Notamacropus eugenii: one gene and its partners. The protein of the gene in region 3 binds, or shares a complex with, the protein of the main gene of each other region. Links are inferred from orthologs where the notes say so. Each region holds a gene or a part of one and is shown on either strand. Other genes may lie near its edges.

What was found.
Region 1: the proteins of ABL1 (region 3) and SH3BP1 are in contact, whole or in part, in a crystal structure (PDB 1ABO), measured with the Mus musculus proteins. The link is inferred for Notamacropus eugenii from reciprocal best matches to the Homo sapiens genes ABL1 and SH3BP1. Residues at the interface, in NP_033724.2 of Mus musculus: Tyr70, Phe72, Ser75, Gly76, Asp77, Thr79, Asn94, Glu98, Trp99, Trp110, Pro112, Asn114, Tyr115; in NP_001303613.1 of Mus musculus: Ala607, Pro608, Thr609, Met610, Pro611, Pro612, Pro613, Leu614, Pro615, Pro616.
Region 2: the proteins of ABL1 (region 3) and CRK are in contact, whole or in part, in an NMR structure (PDB 1JU5), measured with the Homo sapiens proteins. The link is inferred for Notamacropus eugenii from reciprocal best matches to the Homo sapiens genes ABL1 and CRK. Residues at the interface, in NP_005148.2 of Homo sapiens: Tyr70, Phe72, Asp77, Asn78, Thr79, Asn94, His95, Asn96, Gly97, Glu98, Trp99, Trp110, Pro112, Ser113, Asn114, Tyr115; in NP_058431.2 of Homo sapiens: Pro44, Asp46, Asn63, Gly66, Pro67, Arg68, Pro69, Pro70, Val71, Pro72, Pro73, Ser74, Pro75, Pro80, Gly81, Ser83, Pro84, Ser85.

What each region holds. Positions count from the first base shown.
Region 1 is NC_092874.1:294,919,427-294,926,983, forward strand, and holds the start of SH3BP1 (SH3 domain-binding protein 1), read left to right. Parts: upstream 1-4,511; 5' UTR 4,512-4,712; coding exon 4,713-4,774; intron 4,775-5,684; exon of another isoform or gene 5,685-7,175; intron 7,176-7,349; coding exon 7,350-7,392; intron 7,393-7,557. UniProt on the Homo sapiens protein: GTPase activating protein (GAP) which specifically converts GTP-bound Rho-type GTPases including RAC1 and CDC42 in their inactive GDP-bound form.
Region 2 is NC_092873.1:39,471,914-39,479,495, forward strand, and holds the start of CRK (adapter molecule crk), read right to left. Parts: upstream 3,099-7,582; 5' UTR 2,999-3,098; coding exon 2,734-2,998; intron 1-2,733. UniProt on the Homo sapiens protein: Involved in cell branching and adhesion mediated by BCAR1-CRK-RAPGEF1 signaling and activation of RAP1.
Region 3 is NC_092872.1:482,395,295-482,402,610, reverse strand, and holds the start of ABL1 (tyrosine-protein kinase ABL1), read right to left. Parts: upstream 3,061-7,316; coding exon 2,925-3,060; intron 1-2,924. Other genes in the region: uncharacterized protein, read right to left, coding at 3,742-3,873. UniProt on the Homo sapiens protein: Non-receptor tyrosine-protein kinase that plays a role in many key processes linked to cell growth and survival such as cytoskeleton remodeling in response to extracellular stimuli, cell motility and adhesion, receptor endocytosis, autophagy, DNA damage response and apoptosis.

The DNA of each region.
Region 1 (7,557 bases), on a different chromosome or scaffold from region 3:
TATGGCCTTGGGTGTCTTATAATCTCTCTGAGTTTCTGTTTTTTCATCTGTGAAATGGGGGCAGTAATCCTCCTGAGTAAAGGACTTGGTAAATCTTTAAAAGGTGTAGAAACACAAGTTTTTATTCTTTTGCCCAACATTATATCCAGATCATAAGCAGCAGGACTGGGAGCCCAGATAGTCTAATTTCAAGTCCAGCAGGTTTGATTTTCTAAATCATACTTTGTTGACTCTTTATACAAGCATGAGCCAGGCACAGAAGATATGAAAAGGAATGCTATCCCACAGTCTATGTTCTGCTTGAGTATGCTGCTTCCCTTGGGTCATATGATATGATCTGGGGGTGAAAAAGCAGGGCCAGAACCCAGGAATTCTGAACTCCCTTCTCCAGTCTAAACAGTCTATACTAGACCAGGATTTCACTGTCTGAAGTCACTCTTGGGTCCTGGTACTGTGGGATTTCTTCCAGGAAGCCACATCATGATGTGGAGATGACCCTGGGTTCATAGATGATATTACATGTACTGAAGTACCTACTATGTGCTGGGGAATACAAGGACTGCTCAAAGACCTTCCATTTGCTTGGAAAGGCTACCAGCCACCAGTAGATGATGGACCATGTCTGTCAGCCAAGGATTGACTGAGTCATCTGTTTCACCTTCATCTTCCCCCATCTCGGATTCCCCATCTGCCTCCTAGTTCTAAATCCTATGGTCCTAAACCCATGGTCACGGAGTGAGGAATATTGTACCCACAGAAGCTCTCGGAAGCCAGTTGCCAAATCACCAAGGCCTCTGTTAAAACCACCCCCACCCCCACAAAATCAGAGGTGCTTGAAGTAAACCATGAGGCTTAGAGCTAAAAGGGACCAAAGAGCTTATCTAGTCCAGAGCTCTTAACCCAGGGCCAGTGAACTTAAAAACATGACAACTCTCTCAATATAGTTGCTTTCCTTTGTAATCTGGTGTATCTTATTGTGTATTTAAAAACAAGATTTTAGGATGGGCTCCACAGGCTGACTGCCGAAGGGGTCCAGACTACCAGATAGACATGAAGAACTCCTTCATTCATTCAGTCCCTGCATTTTACTGAAGACAAAACAGCAGCCCAGAGAGGAGAAAAGGCCCTCTTGTCCAAGATCCCACAGCCAGGGAAGGAACACTCAGAATTCAAACCCAGATCCTTGACTCGAAATCCCAGACTCTCACCCCAAGCAAGTGCCCGGAAGCACGAGTTTCTAACTGTTAGAACTAAAGCAGCAGTGAGGTGATTTCAGCCTCCTGGGGAAGTTAGCTGGGACCCGCCCTTTCTTCCTTTCAGAAAGGCTTCCACTCTCCACTTTTCAGTGGGGGAGGGGAAACCTCGCAGCCCGTAGGCTTCTTGCCTGTCCCCCCGCCTGAGCTTTTGATCCTCCAGCAGGAGCTCCCTTGGCCTCTGGCTCTGTTTTCATACCCCTTGGAGATCTTTGGGGCTGGCAGGAAGTAGTTAGTCTGTGACAGTCTTCTAATCAGCATCTGAGGCCTCCCCACTGGGGATCCTGCATTTCCACTGGGGAAAGACCTGGGGTTGGAGGGACCACAGTTCAATACTCTGTTATTATTTGCGGGGTGATTTGGGGCAGCTGTCTTACTCTGGGTTTCACTTGCTTCATTTAACATAAAGGGGTTGAACTAAATGTTTATAATTCATGGAAGGGATCTCCAAGGTCAAATACTCCATCCCTTTCATTTTACAAATGGAGAAACTGAGCCCCATAGAGGCAAAGGTGACTTATCCACTGTCAAAGAATCATAAAATGAGAAGTTAGAAGGGACCTCAGAAGGCATCTGGTACAACCTCTTCATTTTACAGAAAAAGAAACTGAGGCCTAGGGAAGTTGGACGTTTTGAGCAGGGTCCCACAGTAGTAAGAACAGGGGATTGAAGCCAGGCTTTCTGAGCGTGGGCCCAGGACACCCTTTCCCCTGCGATATCTCTCTCCCTAAGGCCTCCACCCCTTCCAGTTCTAAATATAAGACCCCATGATCCTTCCTCTGATCTGGGAAGTAAGGAGAAAAGGAAAAGAGAGAAGAACCAGAGAAGGAAGAATCAGGATTCTGTGATCAAATAGATGAATATCAGGCTCTCTGGCCACACTGAGCAGCTCGACTAGTGGGGGGTGGAGACTCAGGCTTGTTCCCCACTAATTCGCTGTGTGCCTTTGAGAAAGGTGCTAAGTGCCCCTCACCAAATTTTTCTAGAGTCTAGACCTTTGTTTTCCCATCTAGAAAATTAAGGATTGCATTGTGGTATTGTTAACCAGATCTGGATTGGCGGTGGTTGGGTCGGATCCTGGGCAAGTCTCTGCTCATCTTTGGGCCTCAGTTTCCTCATCAGCAGAATGAGGGAATTGGGCCACATGACCAGTGAGGTGCCCTGCAGCTGTGACATGTTACCTATCTCCTGGAAAGTTAATGAGGTATTAAGGGGAAGGAGCACTGGCCAGAGCTCCATGAGCTAAAGGAATGGTAGAGTCTAGATGAGGTTTGGGGGTAGGGTGAGAGGAATCTATAGCTCCCACTTCCCTCCCCAAGGGGCCCTGGTGGGAAGTCCCCTGGGGTCAGTAGCATATTACATTGAGGCCCACTTCCTCTTCCTGGTGCTTGGTGCACACCCCATGCTGCCGGTGCACACCCCGTGCTGCCGTTACTCTCCCTTCGAGGTCCCAGCAGTCCCAGCAGAAGATGGGAAGAGGGGGGCACTGTGGCTGTGTGAGACATGAAACATCTTTAGGAAGGAAAGCCCAGCTCTTCAAAAAACTCAGTATCCCTGAACTTCTGTGAGGTCCAGGATATGCCCATTTGACAGATGAGACTGAGGCTCAGAGGAGGGAAAAGACTTGATAAGAATCTGGCAGTCAGGTGTAGAACCTGGTCTCCTGGTCCCATCCTCTTTCTTTCTTTTTCTCCTTTTTAAGGTAATCTTAGTTTTAGATGCCTTACAAATTTCTTGAGTAGCCACTTAAGGTTTTATATTTGCAAATCTTCTGAGATATATATGTAATTCTCCCTATTTTATAAATGAAGAAACTGAAGTGCAGTCATAGGAGTTCAGATCTAGAGTTGGAAGGAATCTTAGAGGTCATTAAATCTTATCCCCTTATTTTACAGATAAGGAAACTGAGGTCACAAAAGCAATAAGTGGCAGAAGTAGGATTGTGAAACCCATGACCTTTGACTCCAACAAAGCTCCCTCTGTCCAGGGTCACAGGTGCACTGTATGTATGTAGCCCATCTAGTCAGGGCCAGAGTAGAGTCTACTCTGAAGATTGTGACAGAGAAGCTGTGAATTTCAGCTCTGATATCTGTTTGTCCTTCACTGCCATCAGAGAAATGATGACATGACTTGCATTTGACTTTTGTTTTGAGTGAGGGAGGGCTGCGCAGGTCACCAGCCTCACTTCTCCTCCAGAGCCATCTGAATCCAGTGACCAGATATTCATCAGGATGACTGGGGATGACTCAGGATGAGAAAATTGGGTTTAAGTGACTTGCTCAAGGTCACACAGCTAGTGAGTGTCAAGTGACTGTGGTGAGATCTGAACTCTGATACTATCAGTGAGACTGAAGCCTGGGTCCCTCCTGTTCCGATTTCTCCTTTTATCACAGTTAATAACATGTAGTCAATGCATGTTGAATCTAATGGGATCAGGCCAAAGAAAGCAGATGGGACTCACCCTGATCCTCTGGTTCCAAGTCAAATTGTCCCCTCATAATTTTTATCTGTCCCCCAGAGTTGCTTCCAGTGTAAGTGGGGATGGAGATAAGGAATAGGAAATGCTGAAAACACAAACTGGGAAAAATAGAAGGTGGAGGTTAGCCCACCGATTAGAATGTGTGTTGGGGAAGGGACAGCATCGTCCAGACAAGATCCCATGAATGGAGGGATTCTGGTCATTGAATTTGAACTGGAGAGGGCTTAGACATTATTTAGATTGAAGCCCCTTCATTTTTGCAGATGAGGAAACTGAGGCTCAGAGAGGGGCAAAGACTTGCCCAAGGTCACACAGCAAGTCTGCCTCGGTAGAGCTGGATTTAAACCTACGGACTCCATCTGTAAATCCAGCGCGCTCTCTGTCACCCAAGAGAGTTCCAGGTCCCAGGAGCCGCCCGAACAGGCCCTAAGCCGAGGGAGTGAATGGGGGTGGGGGGAGCACCGTGCCCGGGTCAGAAGCAGGCCCGGGCCCCGTGCGGGCTTGCCCCCTCGTTTCCCCCTTTCAGGTGCGGCCCAGGAGTTCTTTCTGTCCGCCGCAGGTGGGGACAGGCACAACTAGGGGGCACTCGAAGGCGGGACGGGGGAAGTCAGCCAGACTGGAGTACAGGCAGACGGACAGACTGACAGAGCGAAAGACGGAGGAGTGGGGGTGGAGGCACAGTTAGCGGAGGAGGGTGGTGACCTGGGTTGGGGGAGGAGAGAGGGAGAGGAGAGGCCGGACCAGGGGGAGGGGGAAGAGGAGGAGGAGGAGGAGGAGGAGGAGGAGAGAGAGACAGAGGCTCCGCCAGGAAGAGAAAAATTGCCTCCCTCCCTGCCTTGGACCGGCCGTCAGTCCCTCCGTCCGCCCGTCCGTCTGCCGGGGCACAGCTTAGCGTGCGGCTCGAAGACTCCTATGAGCAGCTCGGGGGGCACCCCGGTCTCTCCAGCCCTCCCGCCAGCTGGCCACCCCAGCCCTCGAAGATGATGAAGAGGCAGCTTAATCGGATGCGGCTGCAGCTGTCCCAGACTGGGGGCTCGGGACGGTGAGCGTGGCTCTGAGCTGGCAGCGGTGGTGGGAGACGCGCGATGTGTGTGTGTGTGTGTGTGTGTGTGTGTGTGTGTGTGTGTGTGTGTGTGTGTGTGTGTGTGTTGGGGGGGGCAGAATTAGGGTTGAGACCACCAGTTGCCTCAGTGGCAGCCAACACCACCCCAAACCCCAACCCTGGGTTACAACCTGTTCCCTTTGCTTTCTCTTTCAACACCTCTTCCCCCCCCCCCCCCCCCCCCAAAAGAGGGCCTCTGGGAAGGGAAGTCTCGTGAGGTAAGGCCCCGACTCGGTGTAACCCAGAGCCGCCCCTCTCCCCGCCTCCCCACTCCTTCCCAACCGAACGAGAGGTTTGGAGTCCTCAGCCCATCCCCCCCAAGATGTTACAGAAGGGGGTCCGGCTTGGTTAGGAACAGGAGTAATCTCCACCCATGGAGGAGGGGACTAGGAGGGACTTTAGAATTTAGGAGTCAGAGTTAGGAGGGGCCTTAGAACAGAGAATGTCCCAGCAGCATGGGGCCTCCCAACTCACATTGTAAGAGCTGGGAGGGCTCTTAGAAAAAGGAACTTCAGAGCTGGGAGCCTTAGAACCTGGAAAGGCAGAGTTGGGAGAATCCTTAAAAAAGAGATGTCAGAACTGAGAGGTCCCTTAGAATCTGGAATGTCAGAACTGGGAGGAATCTTAGAACGGTTCACTTCAGAGCTTGCAGAGTTCTTAGAACAGAGGAAGTTAGTGTTTAGAGCTGAGTTTAGATCTAGTTTAATCCCTTCATTTACAGCTGAGGAAATTAGAAACTGTTCCCTAACCTCCCCTTGCCCGCCTCCTTTCAGGTTTCTGTAGTTCAGAGTTTTAGAGGTGGGGGTGGGGCTAGCCCTGAGCTGATGGAGGGGAGGGTCAGGGACAGGATAGCTAGCTTCTCACTCTGCCTGGGACTCTGGGCTAGTTTCTCCCATCCACCTCCCCCAACCCCAGTTTGGACCACTTAAAGAACTGAAGGTTTTAGGACTCTCCCTGGAAAGGAGCAAGCAGATAATGGGACTCTGAGACCCCAGGAGACAGGGGGGAAGAGGAGAGTCTGGCCGGACCCTGGCTCCTTGGAGACAATGACCCCTGGGGGACTTCTTAGAGGGGAAGAAAGCCTTCCAAGAGCTTTTATTCCCATATGCCTTTGTTTTTCCTGTCTCCAACCCCCTTCTCCCCCCCAGGATGTCAGTCCTCTGAATTCTGCTTTGCTTTTCCCAGGGTCAGGTAAAAATCCAGTCCCATTCTCAGGGCTAAGTTTCTAAACATCTGCTTTACAAAAACCAAAACCAGATGGCCTTGCCCTGACTCCCTCCCCATCCCCTCATGGGACCTAGAGTTCTCTTATGTTGTGTGTGGTGGTGGTGGTGCTGGAATAACTCACTGGGAGCCAGGATACCTGAGTTGTAATCCTGTCTTTGCTACTTACTGCTTATGATACCTTGGATAAGTCATTTCTCTGGACCTGTTTCCTCATCCTTCAGATAAGGGGGTTGGGCTCAGTGGACTCTGCAGTTCTGTGACTTCAGTGTGCGTTATGGGCTGTGCTGGAGAAGCTGGGGGTGAGGGAGAAGTGAGGAGAAAAGAATCTGCATTTCAATCTGAGACGGAGTTTAGAGGCCATCTAAGCTAAGCCCCATATTTTTGTTTTTGTTTTTTTTTTACAAAGAAGGAAACTGAGACTTAGAGGGGAAGTGATTTCAGATCGTAGCTTTAGTACTGTAAGAGATTCCAGAGACCATTTAACCCAATCCATGAATTTTACAGAGGGGGACACTGAGGTGCTTTAAGATTATAGGAGCATAGAAGTGGAGTTGCAGGGGACCTCAGAGGCCATTTTATCGATGAGGCAATTGAGGGCAGATTGGCCCAGAGCACTGAGACAACATTCAAACTCAACTTCTTTTTAGTGTTTTCTTCTATCCCCGAAGCGAAGCTATCCTCCCTCCCCCCACTTCCTTCCAGACTTTACTCCAGCTGTTCCCTATCATGGCAGCCCTTACAGGTTTGCTCTGGGGGCCCCTGAGAAGCCCTTCCTGCTGCCCTGCCCTGAGTTCCCAGGTGCAGCTCTGGGTGGAGAAGGAAGCAGCCCGACTTTGGATTCCCCACTGCTTTGGAATGTGCTCTGGCTGGAGGGGTGTGGGGAAGAATGAGTGAGAGACAGCGATCGGGAGGGACTGGCAGAATCCTTTCTGAATGGACAGATCAGCTAGGGTTCCTGTCCTCTCCACTCTCTTCTCAATCCCCTTTCAGCTCTTAGTTGGTCACCCTGAAGTGCCCCCCCACCCCAGTCCAGACTTGGCAACGGGATCATAGATTTGGAATTCCCAGGGGTCTCAGAGGACAACTACTTTGACTGCTCATTTACAGACAACAGGTACAGAGAGATGGCCAGTGACTTGTCCCGAGTCACACAGCTTTCAAGGCTACATCTTCCTTATTCCAAGTCCCCTACATCATGATATCTGTCAGGGAGTTCTGGGGAAGCAGGAAAGCAGGTGGAGTAGAGGTCTCCAAATTCTCCCCTCACCCAGTCTCTCTGTCCCCACAGTGTCCAAGAGACTGCTGAATTTCTGAGCGAGGACTTGCTTCAGGTATGGATATGGGCTCAAATGAAGTGAGGAGAGGCAGGCCTGTACAGGAGAGCAGAGAGGCAGAGGGAGGTAGCCAAATGGGTGGGATGAGTCACCAGAACCTCCTGGACTGGATTTCTTTTCGAAGGAAGATGTCACCCTGGGGAAAATAGGGTGCCTGGGGTA
Region 2 (7,582 bases), on a different chromosome or scaffold from region 3:
CTTTCTCTATTATGCATCATCTGCACAATTTGTCTTTGTTACTCTGTAAATGTACATTCAGTCTACCCAATTAAACCACAATCTTCTCAAGGATGGAGACAGTATCCTTCATTTCCCACCCTAGAATTTGGCAATGTAATAGGTGCTCAATATTTACATTCATGTTAAGCTGAAGAAGTAAAGGTTAGGTGCACATGGACAGAACGTCAAACTCAATACCCAGAGGCTGGAAATTGCCTGGGAATGAGAACTGTTGACCTAAATCATCTCGAACGGACCTTTCAGCTTTAAAATCCTGTAATTCATTCTCTATCAGGGTTGCTGAACTGGAAACCCCAGCCTCAAGGAGTGGAGCCAGAAGATTTGTATTGCTAACCCTAACTTCACCCCTTAATACCACCCTAAAAATAGTTTTCTAACTAGAAAAGTGTGGAGCCTAACTATACTTACTTAAGTTAACCTAAAATGCTGCTGCCTCCACTTCTATTTACAGAAGGGCAAAGCAATCATTTGCATAAATCTTTCTAACTGAATTCTTATCCAATCTGCCAAAGATTTTTAGAAGCTCTCAATTTCCTTCCCCACCCCACCTTCCTGCCCTAAACAAAGGATGGCAGGGGGCTGGGGACAGTTTTTCTTCACTGTCCTCGACTCCACTTGGGTAATGAACAAAACCAAAGCACGCTGGGAGCAAAGGCACTAAACCATTCACACTCCCAGGTGTTCTTTCCTCCCCTGCAATGCTCTTTTGAGCACTACTGGGATCCTGAAATGGGCAAGAGAATTTCTAGATTCCCCAGCATCATTCAAACCAAGTTCCTATAAGACTTCAAAAAAATAACCTTCAAACACACAGTAGCCAAATCAAATTGTACTAAGTGGAAAATAAGAAAATGTGGTAGAAAACAAGGCAGCTGCTTTTCACTCTACGAACTGTGCCTCCCTAATCACACAACCGTGACAATCTTAACATCCCTGGCAAGGCCAGGGAAGTGTCTGACTTGCATTTTATGTTTTGAAAAGGAGGAGCACATACTGATACTGATATCTGAAACTCTAACATGAAGACGACTACAGATATGCACCTAACCTTCATCTTTACATCTGGCCACCAAGTCAAAGAACACAGAAACACTGAAGTTCTGCCCATTTGACTCAGGGGCAGCCCAAGACACACTTACAATCTGGCCCAAGGCTAGGGAGAAAAACATTGGCTATGTAGTATAATACTGTCCCAATACTGAATTACTAAGACACTAATTAGTCTGGAAAAGGTAAGATCTTTTACCAACAGATATAATCAGAAAAAACCTCAAAAGCAAATTTTAAAGTGAGAAATTCTAAAACTCAAAAATTGCTTCCTCATTTGAGTCACTGATTCATTCCAATACCAATACCATACCAATACCAGCGTTAATATGACAGCATTCATCAGTTCTCCTGACTTCTGGCCTTAGATGGTCTATATTAGGAACATCTAAAACTTTAAAAGGCTGATGTAAAGGATGCCTTCCAAATCAGAGATTGGCTTGGATCCAGTCTCAAGACACATAACAGTTAATAGAACAGAGAGGTCATCTTTGTCTTATTATACTAACAGCAACATCAAATGAAAATATTGCTACTGTATACAGAAACTATGTCAACTATGACAACAAAAGAAGTGTTGAGCAGTGAATACCCAGAAAAATCCAGCTGTGTCCATAGCCTATAAACCCCAGTAAGAGGTAGCCAGCTAGATTTTAAGTTAGAGAAGCAGTGTTGGTATAGTAGGAAAGGTACAGTCTTTGGAAAATCAGAAGAAATGAGTTCAAATCTTAGTACGATCATACCTGTATGATGTGGGAAAAGTCACTTAACCACTTCAGGCCTCAGTTTTCCTCATTTGCTAAGTGAGGGACTTGGAAAGGATGACCTCCAAGATCCCTTCCAGACCTTAAATCCACGTAGAGAAATTCAAGTCCACTCACATTCACTAAGACAGTTGTCTCTGAAGTACACATTCAACCTTTTTTTTCCTGATAAAGTATCCAGCACTAAAGTTTGTTCCTGAAATCCTCAGCTCCACCTCCACAAAACAAATTAAAAACCATGACCTTTGCTGCTGAAACACTCCTCAGGTCACCAATATGGCCCAACCAGAAAAAGACCAAGTCACTAGGACACCATCTAAGCCTTCCTAAGGTGGTATTCATCCTTCCCCTCTATGAAGGAAAAAAAGCTTTACAAGTATTTGAGAAATAATCTGGGGGAGCAGAGTGGGAGGGGGAGAGAATGCAGATTTGAAAAGAAATGCTGATTTAAAAAAAAAAAAGCAAAAAGCACTGATACAGTGCATTGAGAATAGACAGGATGAAAATTTTCATTTCAAAGTAAAATTCTCATAAAATTTTGAATCCAATGAAGCCCCTAGTCATGGCACTTAAGGCCTCAGTTTCCTCATTTGCAATATGCCCTCCTGGCCCTAAATCGGTGATCGGAGGTCTCGGGTGGCAAAAACAAACCCGCCGCCCCTTCAGGGAGTGGACGTTCCCGGCAGCCCCAGGCCAGCAAGTGGCCCAAGGGGCTGCAACGACATTGGGGCGGGTCACGGGGGTCTCAGTTTCCCCACCGGTCAAAGGACGGGGCTGGCCTCCCGAGGCCCGCGCCCAGCCCCCCACCCCGGCACTCCCGGGCTCCGCGCGCCCGCCCCCCGCCCCGGCCCCGGTCCCGGGCCCCGCGCCGCTCCCTCACCGGGCCCAGGCTGCGCGGCAGCCGGCGGCAGGGGCAGCGGCGGGGCGGCGGCGGCGGCCGGGCGCGGGCCGCTGCTGTTGATGATGTAGTGGGAGACGCGCGAGTTCTCCGAGACGCTGAGCACATAGTCCCCGGGGCTGGTGCTCGAGTCCCGCACCAGGAAGACCCCGTGCCGCTGGCCCTGCAGCAGCGCCACCGCCTCCTGCCGGCTCAGCCGCCCCCAGTACCAGCTGCTCCGCTCCTCCGAGTCGAAGTTGCCCGCCATGGCCGCCTCCGCCCCGACACGCTGGGCCTGGGCCCGGGCCCGGGCCTGGCCCACCGAGGACGATGCCGCCGCCGCCCCTCCGCCCGCGCGCGCGCCCCTCCACGCCCGCGCGCCGGCCGGCCGGCCTGCCCGCCCCGACCGACGACCGCCCGCCCGCCCGCCGCCCCGCGGACCGGCTCCGGCCTCCGCTCCTCAGCAGCGCCCGAAATGGCGGCGGCGGCGGCGGGCCTTCCCCACCGGAAGTGACGCGCCCCGCCAGGGGCGGGGGGAGAGGAGCGGGCGGGTGGCCTGCCGGGAAAGGAGACAGGCGGCCGCCATTGGGAGAAGGGCAAGCGCGAGCATGCGCGCTGCCCCTAACGCCGTCTTCCCCGGTCCCCACCCCGGGCTCTCGGGTGTCACTCTCCGGCCAGGGCCGGCACTGCAGCTGATTCCAGGGCGGGGCCGAGGCGGCCGAGCAGGGGGCGGGGCTTGCCTGGGGGTGTCCCTGTCACTCGTCACCCATTTCCGCCTTCGAGTCTCGGAATCCTTGAACCACAGAATGGAATGTTGGTGCCTGGAAGGAAGCTTGGGCGCCCCGGACGCTTCCTCTCGGGAGCCCCCCGACCCGGCCCTCCCGGGTCCCCCCACCGCCCCCCCGGCCTCCCCCGCCTTTGGCCGTCAGGGATCGTGCATTTAGAGCCGCGGGTCCGGAGAAGTCCAGGCAGCCGGCCGTCAGGAGTGGGGTCCCCGTGGCGCCCCGCCCCTGCCCCCTCCCCTCCCCACGCACGATCCATCCGCCCGAGACACCTCAGTCTTGTGTATTAGAAGAGTGGAAGCTCCCTGAGGGCAGCACGGCCTCTCCTTTGGAATTCATGTCCCAGTCTTGGGCTTGCCGTGGGGGGAGGGGATGTTTTAAAAATAGATGTTAAAAATAAATCCTAATAAAGCTAAAAAAAATCTATCTCGCCAGTACTTAGCACCATTGTGCTTAATAAATGTCTTTTCATTCATTCATGTTAAACTCACTTCTCTAGTCCATCTCTCCCCGTCACCCTCGGTCTGGCTTGTTTCGCAGAAGATCTGTACACCCTTCAGACCAAGTTGTTACTTAGTAACCTTCAGCGGCTCCCCACGCTTCATAGCCCAGGTTCCAGGTCCTCCACAGTCCGAGCCCAGCCCGCTGCCCCAGCCAGGCTCCAGTAGTGCTTACCACCTGTCACCACCGCACCAGGCACCCAGGATACCCACGCAAAAGGGAAGCAGTACCTGTCCTCCAGGAGCTTATGCTCTATGAAAGAGACACATCCACACAAATCTATCTATCTATCCACACGTACACACACGTATATACTGCACTAATACTTTTGGAAAACCATGTGTATGTATGTTCACACGTGCACATAACCATAAAACCGCACATGTATATGTACCTATCTATATATGTGTATGTATATGTACCTATCTATATATGTGCATGTATATGTACCTATACACAGGAGCTACATATGTGCCGCACAATTTTTAAAATATGTGTATACATGGATGTCCATACAGCACACATAATAACACATACCGCACATATATGACATGCTGACAACAAAATATATTTTAAATAAATACAAGATAATTTGGAGTCCAGTCCCATTCCCCAACACACCCAACCTAGTCTCTCCCAGTGGTGTGACTTAGCTCACAAGCCAGAGATGAACTCCTGTCTCTCCTGTCTCCCTCTTGTCTCTGCTGTGGTCTCCGCCTTGCCTTCAAGGACTCAATCACCAACTAGAAAGCTACCTCCTTCAGGCACCCCCTAACCCTAACCTTCCTTCCTCTTCCCATCTCCAAGTGATTATTCCAGGTGAGTGTCACCTCAAATTTTCATTCAATAAATTAAATTCAACAAATATTGAATAAGTCCCTTCTCTGTAGAAGGCACCTCAAGATACAAAGGGGTAAAAACAGATTGCAATCTATTAGATCTGCTGTTATCTCCCATACACAAATTTCACTCTGGATTGGAGAACTATTTGTGTATTTCCTTCCCCTCCCCTCATCCCCCATCCTCACCTCCACTACCAAGAAATTGTGAGCTTCTTGAGAACAAAGTTTGAGCTCTGTCTTCTCAGCAAATTCTAGCTCAGTGTTGAAAGCACTTAGGAACTTGTTTCTAACTAGAACTCAGCACTGCTGGTAAGCCACTTGCCTCACCTCACACAGTTAGTGGTCCTCCTCTACCTCTACCCCCCTTCCATTCATTCCTCTCATGCCTTTAAAGTTTTTTAGAGACGGAATTCAGTGATTGTACAGTACCCGTACTAAGACACGAACCTAACTCCTTTGTAGAAATGGGTGGGACTGTTCTGAGCCATGACTCAGAGGGCAGTGCTAGGGTGGGGATGGGGAAGAGGAGTTATTGCTGGAAGAAACTCCAGGATCCTATGTATACACTTACTCCACACACTCTCCCACCAAACTGGACGGGACTGCCCCACCCCCTTCAAACTCTCCTGGGGTTATAGCTACTATTTTTGTATCTTCCTTTTCTTTTCCCTGTGACCCGATATGAGCCAGAAACACAGTGTGTTTGGCTCTGTGTAAGTGGCTAAAGTTCTGGACTTGGAATTAAAAGGACTTGACTTCCAATCCGGCCTCAGATACTAGCTGTCAGACTCTGGGCAAATCATTTCATTCTCTTAGCCCCAGTTTCCTCATCTGTAAAGTGGAATAGCACTATCAGGGTGGTTTGAAGGATCAAATGAAATAATGTGTGATGGCCTTCACAGACTTTTAAGTGCTATATCAATGGTAGTTATTGTTATTAATACACAAACCCTAAATAATAGCCCTGGAGTTGGAGAAAGGGAGAGTAGGTAGCTGATAGGATCGTAGATGGTCTGCTCCTAGTTACAGGTCCCAGGCCCACCAGATCACTGCCAGGCCATCTCCAGTCACAGCCACTGACCTCCCTCCAGAAACACAGTCCTCCCCTCCCCTCTCCTGCCCTTAAAGAAAGGATGTTCTATATTTCCTTAGCTTGGCTTAACTAAGTTATGTTCCTATAATTTTGATACTTTTTTATTATAAGGGAATGCTTGTGACACTGCCCCCCCTCCCAAATCTGGTTCTCCCTCCCAGTCTTCTAACTCAAGTGCTACCTTTCTCAAGTCCATGGTAACTTGAGAATCACTGCATTCATTATATGATAGAGGTTGCCTCCCCCAATCTCCCATACCTCCTCCTAGGTGCCCATCCAGTGTTGAGGTAATCCCAACGGCACTCACTGAGAGTTACTACAGGTGTGACCCTACCCAAGTAATTTAACCTATTCAGGCCTCAGTTTCCTCTTCTGTAAAATGAGATATGTCAGGCTCAACTTTTTTGAACAATGGAATAGATGACCTTGGACATCCCTAGACTGGATGGCATCAGATCTGAGTTCAAATCCAGCCTCAGACCCCTAGTGATGTGATCCTGGGTAGTCACTTCATTTCTGTTTACCTCAATCTCCTCAACTGTAAAAAGGCAGTCACAATAGGCCCTACCTCCCAAGGTTGTAGTGAGGTTCGAATGAGATAATATTTGTAAAGTATAAAAGCTAGCTTTAATTAGTATTATTCTAACTGAGAATCTGTGATTCTGCAGTCACTAAGGAAGGAGGGAGCTTTCCTCCAATTCTGGTATTTCAATCACCTCTCACAGGACCAATAGAAAGGCTGTAAATCCGGGGTCGCCAGCCCCTGCTTCAAGCTTCTCCAAATTTCCATACTCTCCAGCTTCCTGCTGGCCACTCCCTTTCCACTCTGGCCTTCTAGAAAGCTGGCTATAGCCACAGTTTCCTGACTCACCCCCTCCCCCACCAGCGCACACACCTGCACCAGCCTCCTCTTTCACCCATTGTTGTATTTCCTCCTAGTGTCCTTCCCAACACAATTTGACATTTACCAATGGACGTGTGGACAGACGCTGGCTCTCCCCTACCAGTTTCCTGGAAAGAACATGAGACAAAGCCAAAGGATCTGGGCTTGAATGCCAGAATTGCTACTCACTGGGTGTGTGATCTTGGGAATCACCTCTCCAGGCATCTGTTTCCACCTCAGTAAAATGTGAGGACTGAGCTAGATTAGAGGTTAGCACTCACTCTCATATTGTAAGGGCACACCTGGGACACTGCCTCCCCCCCAATCTGGTCCCCCCTGAGTCTTCTAACTCAAGTTCTGCCTTTCTTATGTCCATGGATAGGAGGAGAATCATTGCATTCATTATATGGTAGTAGCTGCCACTCCCAATCTCCCATACCTCTAACAAAGGTGGATAGTAAGTAGGCCTTGGAATCAGGAAGACTTCTGCCATTCACTAGCTATGGAACTCCAAATCACTTAACCTCTCAGGACTGTAAATGGTAAGAATGTAAACTATAAGAAGATGCCAATCTGCACTGGAAGAATGAGCTTTCACATTTGGGAGGTCTGTGTGTTTGACCTTTGTTGCTGAAGAAGACCATGCCACCAGAGAAATAATACCATGACTTGCACTTGACTTTGTTTTGAGTGAGGGCTGTGCAGATCACCAGCCTCACTTCTCCTCCAGAGTCATCTGAATCCAGTGACC
Region 3 (7,316 bases):
CCTTCATTCTCAAAGATGACCAAAATGACATCACTATGTTGGAGTCAAGATACAGTGTGCCCAACTGTGGCTGATCAGACCAATATGAGCTTGGAAGGCTCCACCACAGGACGGGCACAAATAGTCCACATGAACATCTCACATTTCTTTTGAACTACTGCAATTTTGCTTCAAAGTGCCCAGCACATTCTTTGATGTGAGCACACTACGTTGGGCAGTTCTGTGACAGCATCTCCATCTCACAATGGATTCCAAAGTTCTTCAGAGAGACCTTGAAAGTGTCCTTGCATCACTTCTCACCTTCATATGAGCACTTGACTCGTGTGAGTTCTCCATAAAACAGTCTTTTAGGCAAACATGGGTTTGGCATTCAAACAATATGACCAGCCAACTCTGCAGTAGAGTTTGAATGCTTAGAAGCTCAGCTTAAGAAAGGACCTCAGTGTCTGGTACCTTATCTTGTCAGGTGATCTTCAGAATCTTCCTAAGACAATTCAAACAGAAGCAATTCAGTTTCCTGGCATGGTGTCAACAGGCCATCCCAGTTTCACAGGCATACAACAATGAGGTCAGCACAACGGTTCAGCAGACCTTCAGTCTGACAGGCAGTCTAATACCTCTTCTCCCCAACACTTTCCTTCAGAACCTTCCAAGTACACAGCTAGCTCTGGCAATGGGTGTGTCAACCTCATCATCTATGTGTACATCCCTGGAAAGTATAGTGCCAAGGTAAAGTGAACTTATCCACAGCATTCAAAATTTCTCCATCTGCTATATTCAATTGTTCCATGGATGGATGGTGTGATGCTGGCTGGTGGAGAGCCTGTTTTCTTGGTGTAAATTGTTAGGCCAAAATTAGCACAAACAGCAGAGAATCAATCCATACTCTGTTTCAACTCAGCCTTAGAAACTGTATTGAGTCCGTAATCAAAATGGGTTACCAGTGTGTTCTAAGAAATAATAAAAGAGATAGTTTCATAGAAACCTGGGAAAACTTGCAAGAACTGAAGCAGAAGGAATAGGCAGAACTAAGACAACAGTTTAACAGTGAAGACAATACTGTAAAGACAAAGAACTTTGAAAGACTAGGAACTCTAACCAACAGAATGACCAACTATGACTTCCAGAGGACTCATGATGAAACATGCTCTCCACCTCCTTAACAAAGAGGTGATGGATTCAGAGTGCAGAATGACAGAGAGAGAGATAGAGAGAGAGAGAGAGAGAGATAGAGAGAGATAGAGAGAGAGAGAGAGAGAGAGAGAGAGAGAGAGAGAGAGAGAGAGAGAGAGAGAGAGACATGGCCAATGTGGAAATTTGTTTTGCTTGACTACAGATGTTTATAACATGTATAGTCAAGTTGTTTTCCTTAGTTACTCTTCTTTCTTTCTCAACCTGGGGAGAGGAGGGGAGAGGGAGAGGAGGATTTTTGTCAATTGAAAAAAGTACATATTTTAAAAAATAGGTGATCTAACAAAGTGATTCACTTTGTTATCACTTGTTACCAATGTATTTTAAAATGAACTTTTAAAGGGAGGGAGATGGTACAGAGGATGAGAGAGAAATCATAATGAGCAATTATTTTAAACATCATCAAATTTGTCTGTCAACTGAACTAAAATTTAATTTGATTTCAGGGCTTTTTCAAGAATCTTAAGAAGAATTAAAATTCAAGTTTCTAATTAGGTTACAGATTGAAGATTTGAAGTCATATTAATATCCTTAACATTACAATGAGAAATCTGAGACCCAGAGAGTTTAAATGACTAACAAGATAACATTGGGATTTGAACCAAGGTCCTTAGACTCCAAATTCACCACTCACTGAATCATACCATGCAGCTAAAAAATTTTCAGTACTCACAAGATTAGCTTATTTTCATCTCTTTTTCTTCACCTTGAATACATCTTGGCTAAAAAGGTCCTTGGACTAAATGGCCCCCAGGGAAATACTAACAACTTCATTAATCTGGGTCATGTTTACATTTCAATAGTCACGGGCAGTTACCAGTTTAAAAAGTTCAATACACTGAAGTTATTATTCCCACTTGGTAACTTGGATCCTTACTTGAACTTTACAAACATATTACTTAAAACACTTTAAGAATTTGATGACTAGGGCCCAGCATCACTAAATATTTTAATAATGATAGCCTACATCGTCACAAGACCTCACAAATACTATTCCTCATAACAGAATTATGAACAGAACCCTGAGTTCATAAGTTAAATAACTGTTCCCTGCTGAGAAGTATCAGTCTAAGTTGATTGTTTGCCTTGACTTAACCAAAAAGGCTTACTAGAAGCAAACTGTAAGTCCACACAGACAGTAGGACAACAAAATTACAATACATTAAAAATTCCAATGACAACTTTTCATAAATGTCATTTCAAACACACTGAAAAATCAGAAAAATATTATTAAGGGAAAACGATTGGCACTCATGTTAGATAAAAGAATTTATATTTGTCTGTTCATTCAACCAGCATTTAATAAGCACCTGTAAGTAACATGTGCAATTATCAATTACCAATTTATTGGTATTCAATTATCAATGAATCATAGATTCATAAAAAATGAACTAGACCTTAGCAATCATTTAGTACAATCCTCTCATTTTACAAAAAGAAATTGCGGCCCATATTTGGGAGAAATTATTTGCCCAATGTGACACAGCAAGCTATCTGAAGAGCAAGGGTAGAAAATAAATAAAACCATGAGATTTTGCATAACATTAAATCATAAAGAAATTTTTTCTCATACAAAGGGAGTCTAAGAGCCACCTAAAAGGAAAATATATGCTAGCTTTCTAAATTTTCAAATGGGATGTCTGAATCAGAAAAATCTGTTGTGCTCTAATTCTAGCATCCTAGCGAAGTCTATATGATAAACATTAATTTAAGCAATACTAATAAGCACTTACCATGTTCCACAAAAACATTGCAGTGTGGACCCCCATGCCTTGATGATTCCTTCTTCCCTGCTCCTTTGATAAAGTGCAGGGCAGGCAAACTTGGCCTTCTCTGGTCCCCAAGGACTTTTCCAGGCTGCTGCCCCATAAAGGAACTATAGACAACCTTTCCCAGAAAAAGAGGGTTTCAGATCTTCCAGACTGGTCCAATAGCTTAGAATGACAATAGTATAATTTGGGTTTCACATTCACATTCCAGAGAGATCACTTACTGAAGTCAATCACAAGAGAATTCTCCCAAAACCAAGTGTAAAAAATGCTTCTTAGTCCGCTCAGGCAAAGAGGAGCTCCAATTTTACAGTTTTTTATCAGTTTGAACGATACAACTATAATGTTATCAGTGTCAATTGATTTGGACGTCTTTTACTTGAACAGGAATTAGTTTCTTTCCAAAAGTGAAGCCATTTAAAAATATATTCACAAGGAATGTACTTTTCCCACTGCAATTTTTGCATTCCTCTTGAGAATAAAGTATTTGCATGGACTATTACTTAAGTCTAAAAGGGTCAGGTATGCCAATGTCATTTTAGATTTCAAAACAAAGACAAAAGTGTAGCTGTTTCTGGGTCTCTACTTCTCAGAAAAAAATCAGGAATGGTCTTTGACAGAAGGATCTGGATACCGGCTCTGAAACTTTTCCTGTGGAAGTCGCCCAAACCCTATCTCGGTTTCTTCATCTTTGACCGATTTCCTGCCAATCTGGCTGCTACTTCTCTCCGGAAAACTGAGCTGGGTCACCCAGACTTCACAAGTAGATTTACACGAGCAGTCAGTCACTCCAGGAATGCATTGCCAGCAATTTTAAGTCAGCTTTTTTAAAGGGCCTGTGGAACCAACCCAGGCTTTTCCTTTGCATTAAAGTCTGGGGCAGTCCAGAGCCTACTAAGGCCTTTGGTGACATAGAAAAAGACTAAGGGCATTGGAGGTTGGCAAGACTGGAGGGGGAAGGGAGAGAGGGAGGAAAGGAAAGCAAAGGGATGAGGAAGAGTGTTTGAATGGGTGGCACGGGAGAGAAGCTGAACCTGGGACAGAAAGGAAAACTTGGCAGCCTATTGGGGAAGGGACAGAAGGGGGGAAGGGGAGAGAGATGAGTGGCAGAGTTGGGGAACCTTTGAAAAAAAGGAGTGGAACAGGAGAGAGTATGGGGGAGCAGAGGGGTCGGCGGGGGAAGGAAGAAGGCTGGTTCTCTCGCTCACAACCGTCTCCCGCAGGGGAGCAATCGGCGGAGGAGCTCCGGGCAGAGGGTACGACCCTGCTGGAGAGTCCTGCCTCCCCCGACACCCCAAAAGCCAGGGTCCGGAAGGAGTCACCGAGATGCCCGTGGGGCAGGCGGGGAGGGGGGAGGGGAGGAGCTGCCCAGTCCTCGAGGTGGAGAAGTAAGAAACTCGGCCCGGAGACACCCGCCGCCCCCGGCCCGACGGTCCTTCCTCCCTCGGGTCCCCCACCCCAGCCAATGGTCAGTCAATCATATCCCGGAGCTCCCGAGCGTCCGCCCGCTCCCTCCCTGCCAACCTGCCTCCCCTTCTGCCTGCCTCACTCTGCCTCTCTCTCTCTGTCTCTCCCCCTCCCAGCTGGGGCGCGGGGCTGCAGCGGCGGGGGCGGAGGCCGGGGGCCGGGCAGGGGGCGCCTTAGCTGCGGGTACACGGCCACCGGCTCCGGCGCTGCTGCTCAGGGAAAGACACCAACCCCCTCGGCCGCCATGATGGATTACAACCCGCTCCACAACGAGGCTGAGCCCCGCCCCGGGCTCCCCGCGCCCCGCCCCTCTTGGCCCCGCCCGCCGCAGGCACGTACGGGACGTAGCGGAAGCAGTAGGAGGAGAGAAGAGTGGGGCGGGGCGCACGCCCCAGGGGAGTCGTTTTGAGCGCGGGGGCTGGGGAGCTGGGGAGGAGTGTTAGTTCTTTTAATGGACGTTCTCCTTTATATGAGTAAGCCACATTTTCGAGTCCCAATCCTGGTGTCTCGACGAGTTTAGACAGGAACAATTAAAACCGCACCGTTTTTTGGTCGTTTTTTTTCTTCCAAGCAAGAAGGAAACGCCCGCCTGTTTTTATTGGTCTCGGACAAATCAGGTCGGGACAAAGCTTCCTTCTCCATTGGCTGGTGAACCTGTTAGTGCTGAAGTTGTTAGCCAATCGCCTTGGGTACCGTCCTGAAGGCCGCCGGGAGCTGTAGTTTTTCCGTGACTCCCTCCCGTCCGCTAGGCCATCTGAGACTTGTGCACTCTTCTTCCAACCGGTTCTTCAGTCCCTCCCTCTAGGGATTCTGCGGGATCCCAGGCCCCTTGGAGAGCAGGCACGAGTCCTCCCAGCGAGAGTGCCCTAGCAGGCGGATGTAGAGCGAAACACAAACTACGGACGGGATTTTCTCAGGGCTGGAGTAGGGTTTCTTCCCTGAGATACCTAGGGGATCCACCTGTACGCCACGCGTCTGCCACTAGCCATGTAGCTACGTCTGTTCCTTTCCAGCCTTTGTGGCTTCCTATTCAAGAACTGAAGCACTGGGGCTGTGGAAGGAAAACTATGATATGTTTGTTGACCCAATAAGAAACACACAGGCTCGTACTGGAGTTTTTTTCCTTATTTACAGATGTTAGGTGGTTTATACGACAAATATTAGAGCACGCAGGTGAGAGATCACACCTGAGGACAAAGTCACCTAACTGCTTTATGACCTTGTGCAGGTCGAAAGGGTCGAAGAGGTGGGAGGCAATTCAAGATGGGGGAGGGGGGTCATCCTTTCCTGGCCCCATCTCCGCCACCTAGAGCCCTTTGAAACGTCCACAGGAGGGATGGTCAGTCCGGGGCTTTGCCCAAGATGTACCCGGTGTCCAGTACGCTCTCTCCTTCCTCCTTCACCTCGTGGCATTCCTACCAGGCTCCTTCAGAAGGGCAGAGCTCAAGGGCTACTTCCTACAGGGCTCTTCCTGACCTCCCCAGTTCTTACTCTCCTATCCAAAACAAAACAACAACCCCCACCAACTTTGTAATTGTTTTGTATAGATGTAATACGTATCTATGTAAAAACTGCTTCCCATTAGTAGGATGCAAATGCTTGGCACACAGCAGGCACTTGATAAATGGTTATTTAATGTCATTTCTTTCACTCGCCTGTTTCCCCATTTGTAAAATGACTGGGCTGCTCTAAATGATCTCCTGAGCTCTCTTCCATATTGAAAAGCTCCTTCCAGTTGTAAAATTCTGATGTTTCTCAGGTTTACATGGGGCATGGGGAAGGAGCAGAAGAACCTTCAACTCTAACTAACCATGGACACATCACAGGATTGAAAGCTGGAAAGGCACTTCGTTATCTCATTCACCACCTTCATGTAGAGGAGAAAACTGAGGCCTGAAGTTAGACTTGCTCAAGGTCACACAGATAATAAAAAAGGAAATCTGGGCTTTGGAGTCACATCTTCTGACTTCAAATCTACTACACTACTTAACTTCCCTTCAAATTCCATTTTACAAGTTAATCTGCAAAATATCTAGGGTAATTAATTGGGTTTCTAGTTTTGCTTGTTCAGCAGGTTTAGTCCAAAATCTTTAAGAACGTCAAGGGGCATCTTAATTTTTAAGAAAAGCATAACATGTAGATTAAGGATGGTCAGTGACTATGAAACAAAAAGACAGACTTTTAGTTCAGAATATATTCTGGGATGACATAGAATGCAATTGAAAAGCACTCATGTTTTTTCCCAGGTATTGTTATCCCTTCTACATCACGACTTTCCCCATCGAGGTTTTGATATAAGTCAACATAAGAAATTAAATGGGAATTTGGGGGGAGTTTTGCTGAAGCTGCAGATGACACAAGGCCGGCAGAATGACACAGAAAAAGTTTAGAAACTCAAAATGCATAAAATACATGTATAGTATTATATAATATCAACCCAAATTTTATAATAAGGTACTATAAACACCCCATAAAAGAAAAAATTCATACTTCTTCTCTGGTATGGAGAGCCAAAAAATTTTATTAGAATTTTCCAGATTATGTGATGTGGAAGGGATGACTATACTCCTTACATGTCTCACCAAATCTGCACAGTTGGACTAATCACATCAAATAATTCACTGCCCTTGGGTTCTGCTTACTATCTTCTTTCTTTAAGTTACAAGTGCACTTGCAGTCAGAAGACCTCGATAAAAATTCCAAAGATGTGACTGTGTAACCTTGGCTAAGTCACCTCACTGCAGTCAACCTTGGTTTCCTTTTTCCTAAAGTGCAGTTAAGAATGTTTTTTTTTTATAACCTTGTGGGAAACTCTTAACTCATAAAGGGTTCTATTTATCTCAGTTATTATTAAACCTTAAAGCTTATGCAAAGTCAGTATTTGATATC